Linked DNA regions of Diceros bicornis minor. The protein of the gene in region 2 purifies or fractionates together with the protein of the main gene of each other region. This does not show direct contact. Links are inferred from orthologs where the notes say so. Each region holds a gene or a part of one and is shown on either strand. Other genes may lie near its edges.

What was found.
Region 1: the proteins of RAB11B (region 2) and PI4KB purify together in Homo sapiens (co-immunoprecipitation; 3 studies listed by BioGRID and IntAct, with this or other methods). This does not show direct contact. The link is inferred for Diceros bicornis minor from reciprocal best matches to the Homo sapiens genes RAB11B and PI4KB.

Annotation. Positions count from the first base shown.
Region 1 is NC_080743.1:55,590,038-55,598,125, forward strand, and holds the start of PI4KB (phosphatidylinositol 4-kinase beta), read right to left. Parts: upstream 3,257-8,088; 5' UTR 2,915-3,256; exon of another isoform or gene 2,897-2,914; intron 1,785-2,896; 5' UTR 1,596-1,784; coding exon 1,591-1,595; intron 1-1,590. UniProt on the Homo sapiens protein: Phosphorylates phosphatidylinositol (PI) in the first committed step in the production of the second messenger inositol-1,4,5,-trisphosphate (PIP). May regulate Golgi disintegration/reorganization during mitosis, possibly via its phosphorylation.
Region 2 is NW_026691615.1:317,915-326,000, forward strand, and holds the start of RAB11B (ras-related protein Rab-11B), read right to left. Parts: upstream 3,037-8,086; 5' UTR 2,963-3,036; coding exon 2,923-2,962; intron 1-2,922. UniProt on the Homo sapiens protein: The small GTPases Rab are key regulators of intracellular membrane trafficking, from the formation of transport vesicles to their fusion with membranes.

The DNA.
Region 1 (8,088 bases), on a different chromosome or scaffold from region 2:
ATGGGACGCCGCCACAGCATGGCTTGCCAAGTGGTGCGTCAGGGCGCGCCCAGGATCCGAACCGGTGAACCCCGGGCCGCCGCAGCAGAGCACCCGTACTTAACCGCTCGCACCACTGGGCCGGCCCTCTTCCCTGGTCTGAGTACTACTTTTTCCTTGTAGAAACGTAAGACCGAGCAGTCAAGCAGGCTCAAGCCCTAGCAGACACCAGGTAAATGCTTACCCAAGGCCCCAAGGGGGGCTGGCATCAGGGGAGAGGGCATTCTTAAGGTACCAGCAGGAGGTAGGGAGGGTAGTGGTCTCAGGATAGTTAAGTCAATATTGAATCAGGCTGAGAACTCTCTGTGCAGGGCCATGGAGCTGGTATAAGCAGATTCCAGCCAGACAGCCCAAGCCAGCTCTGAGAGCCCCTGCTGAAACAGACAGATGGCAAAGAAAGCAACCTGCATGCTCACCTCTCTTTCAACTGTTCCTCCCTGCTGAAAGCCCCAAATGCGCGTAGACTAGGCCCTCTCTTGTCTCATGCCGATTACTGAAAGGTTTCTCCCAAACTTCTTCCCCAAATGAAAGAATCTCAATTTGCTGCTTTGGATGGTGTTCAGCAAACATGTTCTCATGCAGTGTGGACTCAGCTCTGAGAAGGAAGTAGGGAAACTAGGGGAAATATGATTTCTCTTTGGGAGTGCTTCCAAGGAGTGAAGTTGCTCCTAAAAAGGGGGATTATGAGTAGACTACACTCTGGGTAATGAGGAAGGAGATAAGGGAAAAGTGGGACAAGGTAGCATGATTACTTTCAAACAGGCCTAGAGCCAGAAGATGAATGGAACTTCACGTGCCCTCTTCGCTATTGCAGGCCGAGAGAGACATGGCATAAAGGGAGCAACTAGTTTCCTAAGTCTCAACTCACTCCAAGTTCTCTTTTCCAGCCAGCTTCCTCAAAGGGCTTTTCTACAAACATACTTTCAACCTATAGAATCTGGAGTTATGGTTCAAGTATAAGAGGAACAGCACAGGTGCTCAGCAACTTAATGCAGTGGGAAAAAAAGCAAGGTAGATGAAAGAAGCAGGCCTAGAGTTTGTCTCTCAAACTGACTTACTCCCATGGTCGTAGACTAGAACGACCCAACAGAGAGACCAAGATGAAGGAAAATTCTCAGGACAACTAAACCACTACTAATAAATACCTTTTGTCTGAGGAACTAAGAATGTTTTGTAAACAAATAAACCAAGTCTGATTTCCCCCCCAACCCACATCCTGTTATTAGCTTATTACTGCACTGATGCTTATAGAGTGGGCCATTTTCCCAAAAAGGTCACTCTAGAGGTCAAGCGAGGAAGTCACATGCTGAACCTAGGTGTCCTGATTCTGAATGTACAAGCTCTTTCCATTGTCTCATGTTCCTTTTCCCAGTTAGCCCCAATCCCACCCCAGGCCTAAGCGCTTATGGAATCAACCGAAACTATTTTAGTAAGCCACAGACAGTAAACTGATTCCTCTTGGATCTGGACAGGGGTGGGAAGACACTCTATTCTGTGATCCCTTTAAGACAAGCCTAAAATTAAATAACCCAAAACAAAACTTCTCACAACCTCATTCAGTTCCCATGCAGGCTTGTTCATCCCTCCTAGTGGCTGATCCTGAGTAGTCAACAAAGTGTAATCTGATAGGGACTTCAAAACTTGCTCCATCCTTCAGAAACACCCTCTGTCCAGAAAAGCCTGAGAGAGCTGAGGCTCCCCTTCCTCCCAACACATTTTCTTCTTAGTTCAAGGTTTAGCTGATCCTGAAATACGTGACATGTGGAGATAAACAGTGTGACAGAGAACACATAAAGACCATAAAGGAAAACAGAACCAAGTTTCACAAGGATCAGCAAAATCCTTGAAACTCAAAGGAGAAGGTGTATGGGCCGGCCCCGTGGCTTAGCGGTTAAGTGCGCGTGCTCCGCTGCTGGCGGCCCGGGGTTCGAATCCCGGGCGTGCACTGACGCACCGCTTCTCCAGCCATGCTGAGGCCGTGTCCCACATGCAGCAACTAGAAGGATGTGCAGCTATGACATACAACTATCTACTGGGGCTTTGGGGGGAAAAAATAAATAAATAAAAATTAAAAAAAAAAGGGAAGGTGTCAAAGTTGGAAATCTTTAATGGGAAGGGACACTGTCAGATCCTCTCTCTTCTATAGGAACAAACCTCCAGAGGTTGGAGGATTGAGGAAAGGGAAGCTAAAGAAAGTTACAGGGATCATAAAGCACTCCTGAGAAAAAGCGTAAGGATTAAGGTCAAAGTAGAATGCAAATTGTACTTTGGGAATGGTGATGAGGGCCTGAGATCCCTTAAGGAAAGGGGAATAGGCAATTCTTGGAAGCCAGGAGCAGGGTGGGTGGGTGGCAGTGAGGTAATGGAATCAGAAGCAGCAGAGGAAGAGAGGGCTACAATCTTTAGCCCAGGGAAATGAGAACCCAGTGCTGGGGTTGCACAGAAACATCGGAGGAAAGAGGCAAAACAGGAAAAGGGATAAAGGTGGAGGCCATGAGAATGGTTTGGGGCAGGAGCACACACGACGAGGAAGGACAAACGAGGGTCGACATTATAAAAGGCGTCCTGATGTGGAAAGAGTTCACGACTTAAGAGAAGATAATTCGGGACGGAGGCAACAAGGATAAGAGTGAGGGAGGGGGGAATCCCCGGGACGGAGGGCGGAGCTAAATAGAAGAGGAAGCCAAAAAGCAGAGGAGGACCCCAGGCTTGAGAGGAAAGGGTGGAGAAGGGACCGGGGTGCAGCTGCCACCGGGAGGGCAGTTTTCTAGTCGAACACAGCTGTGGGGGCGGGGGGCGGCTATGCGGGACAGGGTTAGAAAGGGACCCCCCAACACACAGGACAAGGAGGACTCACCCAGTAGGAGTCGCTTACCTCCGGGGGACCCCCGCGGAGGGAGTGCGGGCGGTCGGGGTCGGGCTGCCGACACCGCCGCCTCAGCAGCAGCGGCCGCTCCCGGGTTCCATTGGCCGCCTGCGCTTCCCTGACAGCGGCCGCGGCGGCTGCACCAGGCCCCGGCTGCGGGGCTGCCCTCGGCGCCGCCTGAAGGGTCCTTCGCGTTGCCTCAAGTTCGACTGGGCCGCAAAACCTCCTCTTCCTCCGTCCGCACAACCAAGACCAAAAAAAAAAAAAAGAAAAAATCCCCAGCAGGGCTCGATTCTTCTTCTGAATGCAAGCCCTTCGTCTTTGGATATGCTTTCCTGCTTCTCCGACGCTCAGGACCCTACAGATCCCATGGTACTCTAAGGAGTCGGGTGAGCTGCCTGGAACATGCCTGTTCAGAAATAGAAAAAGGGGCGGGGAAGAGATAGTTGGAAGCTGGGGAGGGAGGAGAGGACGAAGGGAGGAGCCTACGGGTAGGAGGAGGGGCTAATCTTTGGAGGCAGACAAGTGATAGCGTTTGCGAGGCTAAGGAAGCCGACAGGGAAGTAAAATTTGCTGGATAAGGGGCAGGGGCTCCTGGGCTAGAGTAGAGACCGGCAGGGGGCAGGCGGGCGTGGGTGCTCTGTTAGAGGAGAAGTACAGACATACTGCGTACTTCCATAAGTACACGAACATGCGAATTATATGTAAATGAGTCTATTTGAGTTAGCAACCGAGTTATCATAATTGCAATCATTGGCTTTCCCCCCTCCCTTGTTCCACACGACTCCCTTAGTAAATCAGGCCGCGGGATGGACACTGGAGGCCCAGTGGGGAGAAGAGAAAGAGAGAGGGCGGGCGGGGAGGATAGTCACCCTCACTATCCTTTTTCTATTTATCTTTAAGGACGATGCCAAGATTATGCTCCTTATCGCTTCGGGAATGGCGTGATCCAACCGGGTCAATCTTTCGCCGTTAGCGGTGCGACTGGAGGCCGCGGTTCTGCCTCCGAGGTCACCACCTGCCTGGTCACCCTTTGGCCTCCAGCCTCTGGACATCGATCCCTCCGGAGACGGGCTGAACAGAGCCAGTTTGGGAGAGGTGAGTGAAATGACAGAGGCTTGGAGAGCACAACCCCTCTTCAGAAACAACAAAACCGTATAAAACAAATAAACAAAAACACGCCCTATTCACGGACCTCTGGTGTTGGTTTTGTGTATTTGTTTATTAGCATTATTGATTGGGAGCCCTCGCCCTCAGAACCTCTGTCCCATCCCTCATGGGCCTTACTTAATATTCTACATCGAAACTAGTTATTTGGGCCCAGATCTTGGATGCCACCTTCCCTGCCACTTAAAGGCTGTTTGATTTGGGGTGACTGATTTAACCTCTTTGAACCTCAGTTTCTATGTCTGCAAAGTGGATCCAGGAATACTAACACTTTACAGGGTTTTGTGAGGATTTAAAGAGAGAGTACAGATTCCTACCATGGTACTGTATTACTATTATTGGGACAATAATGTAGGATAGATGATGAAAGAAAAGAGGTCACTGCTTCCATGTTTAATTGGGAGGCAGAATAAAGAGTAATAGCTTCAAGATATCTATGTAAAACATGCAATATGTACAAAAGTAAAACAAATGGAGTACCTAATTGCTGAAGGAACATAGAGGAGTATGGTTAATTAATGCAGAAGGCATAGCCACTCAGTATATGGTGAATGAATGAATGGAAGGCTTCTCAAAAATATTGTGAGCCAGGTTTTAGAAGAGATATTATATATGATCCAGCAGAACAAGAAAGAGCAGAGAGCATTCTGAAGGCTAAACAATTGTATGTTGAAGAATAGAAATGTGAATTTGCTCAAATCACGAGGAGAAGGCAGACTGATAAGCTAGGTTAAAGCAGGAATACAGTAATGAAAGATGAGCAGAGAAAGAAGCTGAGAGTGCCAAAGATAGTTTAAATTTGTCACCACTGGTCTGGAGTGGGGAATCACCAGTCCACCTGTCAGGCCCAGCGGCTCTTGGCCAGCTTCCAATCAGCTGTCAGGCAACTACCAAGAGGTGATAACCCTGCTTTAGCCTAGAGTTTAAAATGTCACACATCCTCACACATCCATCTCCTCGAGGGGTAGGGTTCCAAAGGGCCATATGACCAACTTTTTGAAACACTGTAAAAAGAGATGTGACAGCCCTACTTTTTATAATAGGAAGTTTATTTTCCAATGACGAAAAAACCAAGATTTCAGGAAAATCTCTGTTCAGACTTTACTAGGAACTTTTATAGCTTCAGGCAGTTATAAGTCCTTTATTAACCCAGTGAGACCCCCTCCCATACACACACACACAGGGTATTAAGTAGAAGAGTTTGTTTCAAGTTTTCTATGTTTATAGCTCTAAGGGCTCATATGTGTAAATTTCTTTGCATCTCTTTATGACTTTTTCTTTCTGACTTCTGGAATTCTTTTTGGTTACCCTTTGTTTCTCTGAGTCTCCAAACTCCTCTAGTCTGAGCTCCTCAAGGCAGGAAAGGATTCATCCTTGTATACTAGCTGTATCCTTAGTTTCTAACATAGAAAAAATATATATATTGGCTGTATAGCAACAGATTGAATGCAGAAGCAGATATGAGAATCCAATCAGGCATTAAAAAGATTTCCAAAACTGTAAAACAATGCCAACTGATTTTTTTTTTTTTTTGGTTTGGGAAAATAGTTTTTCCATAAGTGAATCAATAAATTAAAAATATTTAGGGGCCGGCCCCATGGCTTAGCGGTTAAGTGCGAGCGCTCCGCTGCCGGCGGCCCGGGTTCAGATCCTGGGTGCGCACCGACACACCGCTTCTCCGGCCATGCTGAGGCCACGTCCCACATGCAGCAACTAGAAGGCTGTGCAACTATGGCATACAACTATCTACTGGGGCTTTGGGGGAAAAAAAAAATATTTACAAATAAATATTCTAAATTATTATTTTTTTGTGTGTGCGGATGATCAGCCCTGAGCTAACATCCATGCCTAATCCTCTTTTTTTTTTTGGTGAGGAAGACCAGTCCTGAGCTAACATCTATTGCCAATCCTCCTCCTCTTTTCCCCTTTTTCTCCCCAAAGCCCTGGTAGATACTTGTGTGTCATAGTTGCACATCCTTCTAGTTGCTGTATGTGGGACACTGCCTCAGCATGGCCGGAGAAACGGTGCGTCAGTGCCCACCTGGGATCCGAACCTGGGCCGCCATTATCGGAGCGCACGCACTTAACCGCTAAGCCACGGGGCCGGCCCCCTCTAAATTATTTTTTCTTCCCCCCCTTCCTATTTGCTTTTCTTCTTTTCTCCTCAGTCTCTTTAACTGTCAAATTATAAAACTGAATGCTATTCTTTGTTTCCCATATTAAATTAAAAGTGTAACATTTATGATGTTCTCTAAAATTCCTCACTGTACTGAACCTTTTTAAAATTCTCATTTGATGGAAAAAAAAAAAATACTGTTTACCTCTATCTTAGGTCCCAGGGAGCTGCTGCACATGGATGACATGTGACCCTATGGGAACCGATACTGTCCTGTGTGCATGTGAAGCCTCTTGCTTTGGTGGGAAAGTATGGATGTGTGTGGGAAAGTATGGATGTGTGTGGTAGGAAAGTAGGGAGGGCAGGAAAGTCCCAACAGGGTCAGGTAATGTCATTTATTTATCTTAAATTTCATGAAATTGGAGAAAGAAGTTGGCTTATTCATCAAAAGTTGGTAAAACTGGAGGACCTAGGTCATACTATAGCTCTCGTTATACACATATATTTTTTTGTGAGGAAGATCAGCCCTGAACTAACATCCATGCCAATCCTCCTCTTTTTTTGCTGAGGAAGACCGGCCCTGAGCTAACATCTATTGCCAATTCTCCTCCTTTTTTTTTACCCCCTTTTTCTCCCCAAAGTCCCAGTAGATAGTTGTATGTCATAGTTGCACATCCTTCTGGTTGCTGTATGTGGGACGCCGCCTCAACATGGCCTGACAAGTGGTGCGTCAGTGCGCGCCGGGATCCAAACCCGGGCCGCCAGTATCGGAGCGCATGCACTTAACCACTAAGCCACGGTGCCGGCCCCTCTCCCGTTCTATTTTAAACACCGTTGTGGTTGAAGAAATTATAGAGTGATTTTTTTTTTCCTGAACCATAGATATTATGGGTCTTTTTTCAGAGAAAAGAAAAAGAAGCTCGCAGTTACTGCTCGAGCCCCTACTGTGTATGAGTACAAACATTATCTCATTTATTTCTCATTACAACCTGTGAAAGAGATTTTTATCCCATTTTATGGAAACTGAGCTTCAGAATGGGTAAGTCATTGTTTTTCAAAATTGTTTTCCTTCAACCCACAATAATACATTTTATATTCTGACCACTGAAGAACACATAGACATGTCTTCACTGAAATAAAAGTTTCATGAACCAATACTTACCCTTACCATGTGCAATGCACTCTGATACTTTCTATTCTATTTTATTTATTTATTATTAAAAATACCGTTTTACATCCTGCTAAATCAGTCTCACAATTCACTAATGGGTTGCAATCTACAGTTTGAAAAAACTGGACTAAATAAATGTTCAGGATCATACAGAAAGTCGTAAAGCTAAGATCTGAAGTTATGCTCTTTCCAGTAAACAAATGCCTCCTTATGAACATTTCTTAAGAAATGCTGTATTATATATGTCATGCTTAGCTTTATCTCATAGGATGGAGCCAGCAAGATGATCCTAGACAAAGAAGGAATAGGCCTCCTGAGGAACCATATGTGAAACACTTAGACAAATATGTCATGACATTAACTCCCCTGTTCAGTATGAGTAAATGTGGCATCTGCTTTGATTTCTAAAGAAAGTTGATTGTTATCCACAAAAAATAAACAATAAAGTCATTTATTTGGGGTCATAGACTAGACATGTAGAGTTTTTCTTGGTTTAATGGCAAACGATTATTTCAAATTTTAGTAAATTATAAATTATCTTTAACTTTATGATAGGGCTTAATTTATGAAATGAAGAAAGACAACATGGGGGGAAAGGTATCGTGAGTGGGGAATGGGGTACTGGGGAGAGAATGAGGAATGGTAGAGAGGAAGGAATAGGCAGTCCCCCAAATCTTAGTTTAGCCCTTCATCTGATGAACTGAAGATTGCCTGCACTATAAAAGAATA
Region 2 (8,086 bases):
CATTCCCTAGGGAATCAGAGAGCAGAGGACAGGGGCCCAAAGTCAAGGCACAGGCAGAGCCTCCACTGGCAATGGGGAAGATGGTGTGCTCAGATCCTGGACCAGGGGGGCTGGGTGGGGGGCCCTGCCCGGGCTAGAGAGGGGAGGCTGCCTCAGGAGCACCCAGCAGAGGGGCCGAGCACTGGGGCTGGCCTGTTTCCCGGGAGCCAGCTGCCACTCGCTCCTGGCACCTCCCCAGAAGGACTCCTAGATGGGGCAGGGGCCAATCCAGAGGAGAGGGCCCTGGGCCACCACGGCAGCTTCCCACACCAGCCACGTCCTCACAGGCCAGGTGAGTGCCTGGGGGCTCCGGGAAGGCCTCGGTGGCCCCTGGGGACACAGCTGCACCCACTGTGGACCCCACAGCCAGTCCATCAGAGGAGAGGTCAGGGGCGACCCCTGGGGATCAATGGGCAGGCTGGGAAGATGGTCCCAGGTTATAAAATGTTAGCAGGATAAATGTAAGGATCTATAATTAGCTACAAATAAACAACCTCATTCCTAGGGGAGGGCAGAATGTGCAAGGAGGAAAATAAACAGCACACAGCACCAACGGGGGTCTGTTGGCCTTAGCCGAGCAGGTCAGGGGATCCAAGATATGATGTGGCTGCCAAATAACACAAGGCACTGAAGGAGGGCAGGACAGGGGGCAGCCAGTGTCCCAAGGGAGAGGGGTGGCCCCTCTGTGCCCAGGGCAGGGCCAGGGGAAAGTGACTGAAGCCTGAGGGAGGCTGCGCACAGGGCAGGGGGCAGAGGATCGCTGCCCTCTCCGCTCCTGAAGGGCTCCCCCGACTGGAAGGCACCTGCTCGACTCAGAAAAAGGAGGCCAGAGGGGGAGGGCAGTGGCGCAGGCACCCCCCGCCCCCACCACGTACCAGTTGCCACAGGAGCCAGATCAGTGTTTCCAGGAAGCGGACCCTGGAGATGCATCCCGGGAAGCACACGACCGCTCCATTGCCCCTGACCCAGTAACTGTACTTCTGGGAACAAACTTCAAGGAAATAACCCAAAGAGCAAAAGATGACTTGTGCAAACGCTTGGACCTGGGTTATTTATAACAGCAAACAGTTGAAAATAACAAGCGGGGAATGACCACAGAAACCTGGAGGTGGCCACTGGGAATGCCTTCTGCCCTGGCAGTGCCACATCCGGGTGAGTGCCCAGCCCGGACCTGGGGAGCAGATGTCTCAGGGCGGGCAGAGCAAAGACAGGCACCAGGTGCAGCAGGACTGGAGTCCGGTCCACCTGTCACCAGTCCCCAGAGCCCTGATAGAGCTTCCCTCGCTCTTAGGTGAGACCCCAAGGCTCAGCCGGCAGCACCAGGGCTTTGGCCTGATGCCTGCCGACCACACAGCCTCACTGGCCAGCGACATAGCAGCCTGCACGCATCTCGCCAAGCCCATGGAGCTGTGTGACGACCCTGGGCCTTTGCATGGGCACCCCCTCTGCCCAGAAGCCTTTCGCCACATGGATATCCCAGGTACGGAGCATTCCACCCCAATGTCCAGGTCCCCAAGGTCCCCAGGCCCCCACATGCTAGATAATACTACAGACACAATGGGCAGTGACAGACACAGACCACACTCTCAGGGCTGGCCAGGCTCCCCCATCGAGGGGAAGATGCCAACAGCTGGCATGGGAGACAGACCCGCAGGCAGCAGGGCCAAGGTGCCCCACGTGGGCCCAGGGGTTAGCCTCAAGGGTGGCCACTGTCAGCCAGGGAGCCCAGCACAGGCCCTGACCGAAGCCCAGCTTGGCACAGAGGCACTGTGAAGCCAGTGACCCCCCAATCAGGAGGGAATCTCCCAGCTTGAGGGGCAGGGTGAATGAGCTCCCCACTGGCCCCAGGCGGGCAATGGCTGCCTGATCTGCCTCAGCCTTACTTGAGGCTCTTAGAGCCCTCTACCCCCGGGGCAGGGTTGGTGAGGCCCAGCCATCAGCGCGCACGTGTTGGGGGAGGCAGTCTGACAACCTCGGCCCCAGATCCTGGCTGCAAGCCGCGCCACCCCCCCCCGCCCCCCGCCACACTTCCTAAGTGGTAAAGCCCACAGCTGATCTAGGCTCAAGTCCTGCTCCAACACTTAACACTCGTCTCTCTGAGCCAGTTTCCAGGTCCATAAAGAGAAAGGCTGGATAATACCGACCTCACATGGTTTTGAGGATTTCAATGACTACATGAGTATAAAGTGCTTAGAAAAACGCAGGTATTTGGACAGTGCTGTTAATGTTCTAATAATTAAGAGATATAATTGTTGCTGTTAAACACGGGGCCCGGGTCCAGCACACACAGTCCCCCCACGTGCCCCTCCACGCAATTCGGGGTCCGCACCCCAATCCAGGCTCCCCCCCACACATTTCAACCCCCATTGTCCGCCTCGCCCTTCCAAGGCCCCGCCCCCAGACGCGCTGCCACCAATCAGGTCTGGCCCCTCCCACCCCGTGAAGCGCCCGGCCCCAGCAAGTTCTTGGACACGCCCACTACCGCCTAGCCCCCGCCTCCAAGGCCCCGCCCCCACCACGAAGGGAGCTTTCCACCCAGCCCGGCCCGCCGAATGCTGGGGCGGCCCCGCCCCTCCTGAGGCCCCGCCCCTAACGGCCTCTCCCACCGCTCCGGGCCCCACCCCCTCTGTGCCCCAGCTCCGCCCCGGCTCATCCAGGGCCCCCAGGGCTCCCTGGGCCGCCCGCTCCGCACGGTCGCGCACCCCGGCCCGAAGCTGACTGAGCCTGGCCCACCCCGGCCTTCCCGGCTGCCTGACCCGCCGGGCCCCAAGCCCCGGGCTCCGGCCTGGGCCCAGCGGCCTGGAACGCAACCTCGGCCCGCCGGCCCGCCTGCCCGCCGCCTCGCCGCCGCGCCCTCGCCCGTCTGTGCCCCACCGGCCACACCTTTGAATAGGTAGTCGTACTCGTCGTCCCGGGTCCCCATTGTCCTGGTGCTTCCGGCGGGATCGGCGACTCCGCAGCCCCACCACAAACACCCGACGGGGGCGGAACCGGCGCCGCGCAGAGCGGCGGCCGGATGGCTAATCTGCGGCGGGTGGCGTAGCGACCGGCACCCAGGGCAGCCAATCAGAGGTGGAAGCAGAGTCCCAGGGGTGGGCGCCGCTAGGATCCGCCCTCCGCGCTCCTGGTCTCCTGGAGAAAGGCGGAAGGAATGCGGCCCTTTCTGAAGTGACAGCTGCGCCAGCCTATCAAAGGCGGGTTTAGGAAGGCGGGACGGAAGAAGGGAAGAATGAAACGGATTGACGGAGCGAGTAGCCAATGAGAGGCTTAATTCAGACCGTACCCGACTGCCTGAGGACCTGTCCGGGGAGGGAAATAGCGCTACGTCCAGGTGATGTTACGCTATGTAACGTCCCGATGACGTCATAGGTCTGTGCACGCTGCTCTGCCTCCCCGCCCCATAAATGACCCTGTCTGGGGGGCCTCTCCCCGAGGTCTTTTCCATTAGAGGTCACCTCTCCTCTCTCGGTTGCACTTTCCATCACTGTATTGGTGTCTCATTGCGATACCGTTCTGCATCAGTTTCCTTCATCTGTATAACAGGGAAGAAACCTCGTGGAATCTTTGGAAGATAACTAGATCTTGTCCCTAAACGCACACTAAATCAGCCGTCCACATTCTGTCTTTAAGTCTTTGATTAACAAATATTTATAAATCCTTACTGGGCGTCAGACTCTCCAACATGGTCTCCTCCCCTCGTCTGTCCACTTACCCTGTTTTATTCCACCCTCTCCCCCAGGACTTATCGCTACCTGACATTAAAGTATGTGTTTCTTTCTTGACCCATTAATCTGTTTCGTTTGTCTCCATCAACAGAACATCAGCCCCATGAGGGCAGGGACTGTGTGTGCCACAACCACTGCTGTGTCCCTGTGCTCAATAAATATCTGACCAGTGATGAACAACTTAGGCATGGAGCTCATGTGCTAGTTACAATAATTATTATTATTACTGCCTCCTGGACTTCATCGCTGGGATGTCCATCAGGCATCCCGACACTTGTTTGTCCTCTTTCCGCATATCCACTCTTCCTCCTGTGTCTCCATCCCCCACCCCCTCCATCATCAAAGCCACAAGTCAGGGGCTCCTCTCTCTTTCTCATTGTTTACCACCCTCTGCCCCTTCCCCTTATTGTGTCTCTTCTCCCTCCCAAATTTCTGACCACGTCTCACTCCCTCCACTGCCACCACCCTGATCCTGGCGCCCATCATCACTCCCTGTGACACCGAACCAAGTGGCCTCCCCTCCTGGTAAGTTAAATAAAACTACACCAGTGGAAGTTGTCTCACAAAGTAAAGTGTATTTGCAGCAAATAGGAGACCATGAAGAATCATTTCCAAAGTCAGGGCGTCTGGGAACCAAGGAAAGCAGGAACTTTTATTTGGTTGGGGAATGAATATTCAAAAGGGAGAGGCAGGTATTCGATTGCACAGGCTCAGTTGGAGAACATGCTTCCACATCATGAGGCCTAAGCTCCACCTGGAGAGATTTTTGCATTAAAAATAAGGCAAAGGTCGTGGGCGTAGCTCTTGTGGTGAGGCTTGGTCAGTTTCAGCATGGCTGGTGGTTATATCTCCCTTGAGTGCCTCCCTTGGTCAGTTTCAGGATGGCTGGTGGTTACATCTCCTTAATATACAAAAGGAAAAGAAACAACTTGGAAAAACAGTTAATTGCTGGGTCATCCTGGTGGCGCAGCCGGTAAGCGTGGGCGCTCCACTTCGAGGCCAGGTTCACAGGTTCAGATCCCAGGCGTGCACTGACGACGCACTGCTTGTCAAGCCATGCTGTGGCAGTGTCCCATATAAAGTAGAGGAAGATGGGCACGGATGTTGGCCCAGGGCTAATCTTCCTCAGCAAAAAAAAAAAAAAAAAACCAGTTAATTGCTTCCAAACCCACCTTTGACTTTCTCGAGGTCCGTAGTCAGTGACACCTGGACCTGTGCATTTCCCGCTCCCAGATCCCCCTGCTCTGCCCTCACTTCACAGTCTGTTCTTCCCACAGCAGTCAGAGGGGGGTTTTTAAAACATGTCAGGTTGTCTCGCTCCCCTGTTTAAAAATCTTTTAGTCCTTCCTTTAGGACGTCCATTTACTGAGCATCTATGAGGTCAGGCAGCACTCTAGGTGCTGGGGATGCAAAGTGCCAGCCCTCATGGAGCTGAGAGTCTCTTGGGAGCAGTCAGATAAGAAGCAAGTAAAAAACATGTGCAGGATAATTGCAGAATGGGAGGCATGCAATGAAGAGAATAACCTGGGTTATTCTCCTTAGCTCCTTAGCTAGTGGGAGATCGGAATTGGCCCCCTCAAAATATGTCTCTTCACCTTGATTATTTTCTCTGAAAGAAACTTTGACCTCACCCCTTTCCCACTAACTGCCTAAATGAATTTAAATCTGTGTATGGATAGAGTGGGAGGGTCCTTGCTAAGCCCATTCTTATCAAAGTTCTGTTGAAGGGAAATGTCCATTTGTAAAGATATCTCCCTCTCTGTACCAGGAAGAAGTGGGGATGACCTTATCTCTAGAAACTCTTATCAGTGCATACTCTTGTTTATTGTGCTTTCTGGTAATCTCCCATAGCTGACTCCCCACCCCCCCAACATCCTCCTTTGTCTACCTGAATATGCTATTTAAGGTGAAAACCTCCGCCATTTGTTGAGAAACTCAGTTTCCCTGGTTTCTCCCATGTGTACGTTATAAAGCTTTGTTGGATTTTCTCCTGCTATGCGGTCTCATGTCAATTTAATTTGTAGCCCAGCCAGAAAGGACCCAGAGTGGGTAAAGGATAGTCTTCCTCCCCTTCACTAGGAAGCCAGGGAAGGCATCCTGGAGGAGGTGGCATTTGCACTGAGTCCGCAGGAGGGGGAAGAGGTATTAGGAACAGCATTTCAGGCAGACACAAAAGCAAGTGAGAGAAAGAGCTTGATGTGTCTGAACAGCCAGAAGGTCATGGTGGCTGGAGAGCGGGGTCCAGGGGCCAGAAAAGAGATTAGGCGAAAAGGCAAGGCTGAAATCCAGACCAGGGAGGAGCCTCCCAGCCTTTGTCAGCAAACTCCTGGGCAGTTGCCTTGAGGCCCTGCACATTCCAGCACAGATCCCTTCCCCACCCGCCCTGCCGTTCCCCTCCCCAGCCTTCTGCCCCTCGCTGCAGCTAGGTGGGGCTGTGCGCTGGCTCCCCAGACAGGAGCTGCATTTCCCACCGAGGCCACTAGGCTTTGGCTCTCACAGTGACCTCTTTCTGGAATACCACCCTCCCTCCTCATCTTTGTAAAATTTTCTTCCTTTGAAAACTGACTCAAAAGCCACATCCACCGTGAAGTCTTTTCTCCTGTCTGGGTCATGCTCCCCGCCCCCACCCCGAGCATGGCTCATCATAACAGTATTAGTAAGGACGGCTAATGTTTATATTGTGAGCTCACCATGAGTGAGACACTGTTCTGAGCGCTTTTCACTTAATGCTCCAGGAAATCCTTGCAGCACCAGCAGAACAGAAGTGGGGGGTGGGGGGTGGGGGTGGGAGGGCAGGGTAGCAGAACCATCCCCATTTTGCAGATGCAGGAACTGAGGCCACAGAACTTTAGTGGCCTGTCCCCAGTGCCAAGAAGTTCATCACCTACACTCAGCCAGGGCCCCAGGGAAGCCATTGTGTCCCCAGCACCTTCCAGGAAGAGTCACGGAACAGGAAAAGCATGGAGGTTTTCCTCTAGTGCAAGAAGCCCCCACGACCTCTCCAAGGAACACTTACAAGAAATACTGGAAAGATAGGTTCTCCTATGAAAACAGCAGTTGGGGCTCAGGGCTTGGACAGATGCTGTTTTTCCCAAACATGTGTCCCGGAGACAAAGCATCACATTATTCCAGGCCATATGATATGGATGATTATTCTGGGCAGTGCATTAAATAACGTTGAACCACATGCTGAGAAAGTCTTACCTTTTTGCAATTCTTGAAATCCTTTATTATCCTCAAACAGAAAGGCTCACTCTCTTTTGCTCATATCTCTTGAACAATTTTCTAATGCTTATCTCCCTCTTTAAACAGAGCTCAGAAGCAGAGCCTTCAGAAAGCCACAAGATCTAGTTAGAATTTTCTTCCCCGCATTTTGTTGTGAAATTTTGGGGACTTTTAGAAAAATGGAAAGAATTGTAGAGAATACTCATATCCGCAACACCTAGAGTCCACTATTAATATTTTGCTTTATTGCATATCCATCTCTATCCACCCATCTATCATCCTATTTTTTGATGCATTTCAAAGAAAGTCGAAGATTTGGGGCGTCTCATGCACAGCATGGTGATTATAGTTAACAATACTGTATCGTATACTTGAGGGTTGCTAAGAGAGTAGATCTTCAATGTTCTCACTATGAAAAAGAAATGGTAATTCTGCGACGTGATGGAGGTGTTAGCTCCCTATGGCGGTCATCATTTTGCAATATATAAGTGTATCAAATCAACACTTTATACGCCTTAAACTTACACAATGTTATATGGCAATTATACCTCAATAAAGCTGGAAAAAAATTACGAATAAAACAAGGACGTTAGTCCACTTCACCTCTAAACACTTCAGCATGCATATCATTACCTAGAGTTCAAGGATCGTTTATGGCTGTTTTCTTAGTTTTTGTTTGGAAGGTGAAATTTACATGTAATAATATGCACAGATCTGAAATGTACATTCACCAAGACAAAGGCATATGCCAGAGTAACTCACCTCTGTGGAGGGAAAGTTGCCTCATGTCCCTTCCCAGTCAATTCCCATCCCACCCTTCCAGGGGCTGCCACTATTCAGGGTTTTTTGGTTTGTTTTTTTTTTTTCACCGTAGATCAGTTTTCTAGCTGGAATTTTAAAGCACTGGCATTGTTTTATTTTCATTGGCTTTAGTTTCACTAACTTATTTATGGCAGGGGATACTAGTTCTCCATGTGCAGTGGAGAGATGTTTACATTTTTAAAAACTGCGTAAGTCCCGGGGCCTAGGCGTGAGCTGCTTTACAGCTGCCATTGGTTTAATTATTAACAGCACACCCTCTTTCACTCTCAAAATTA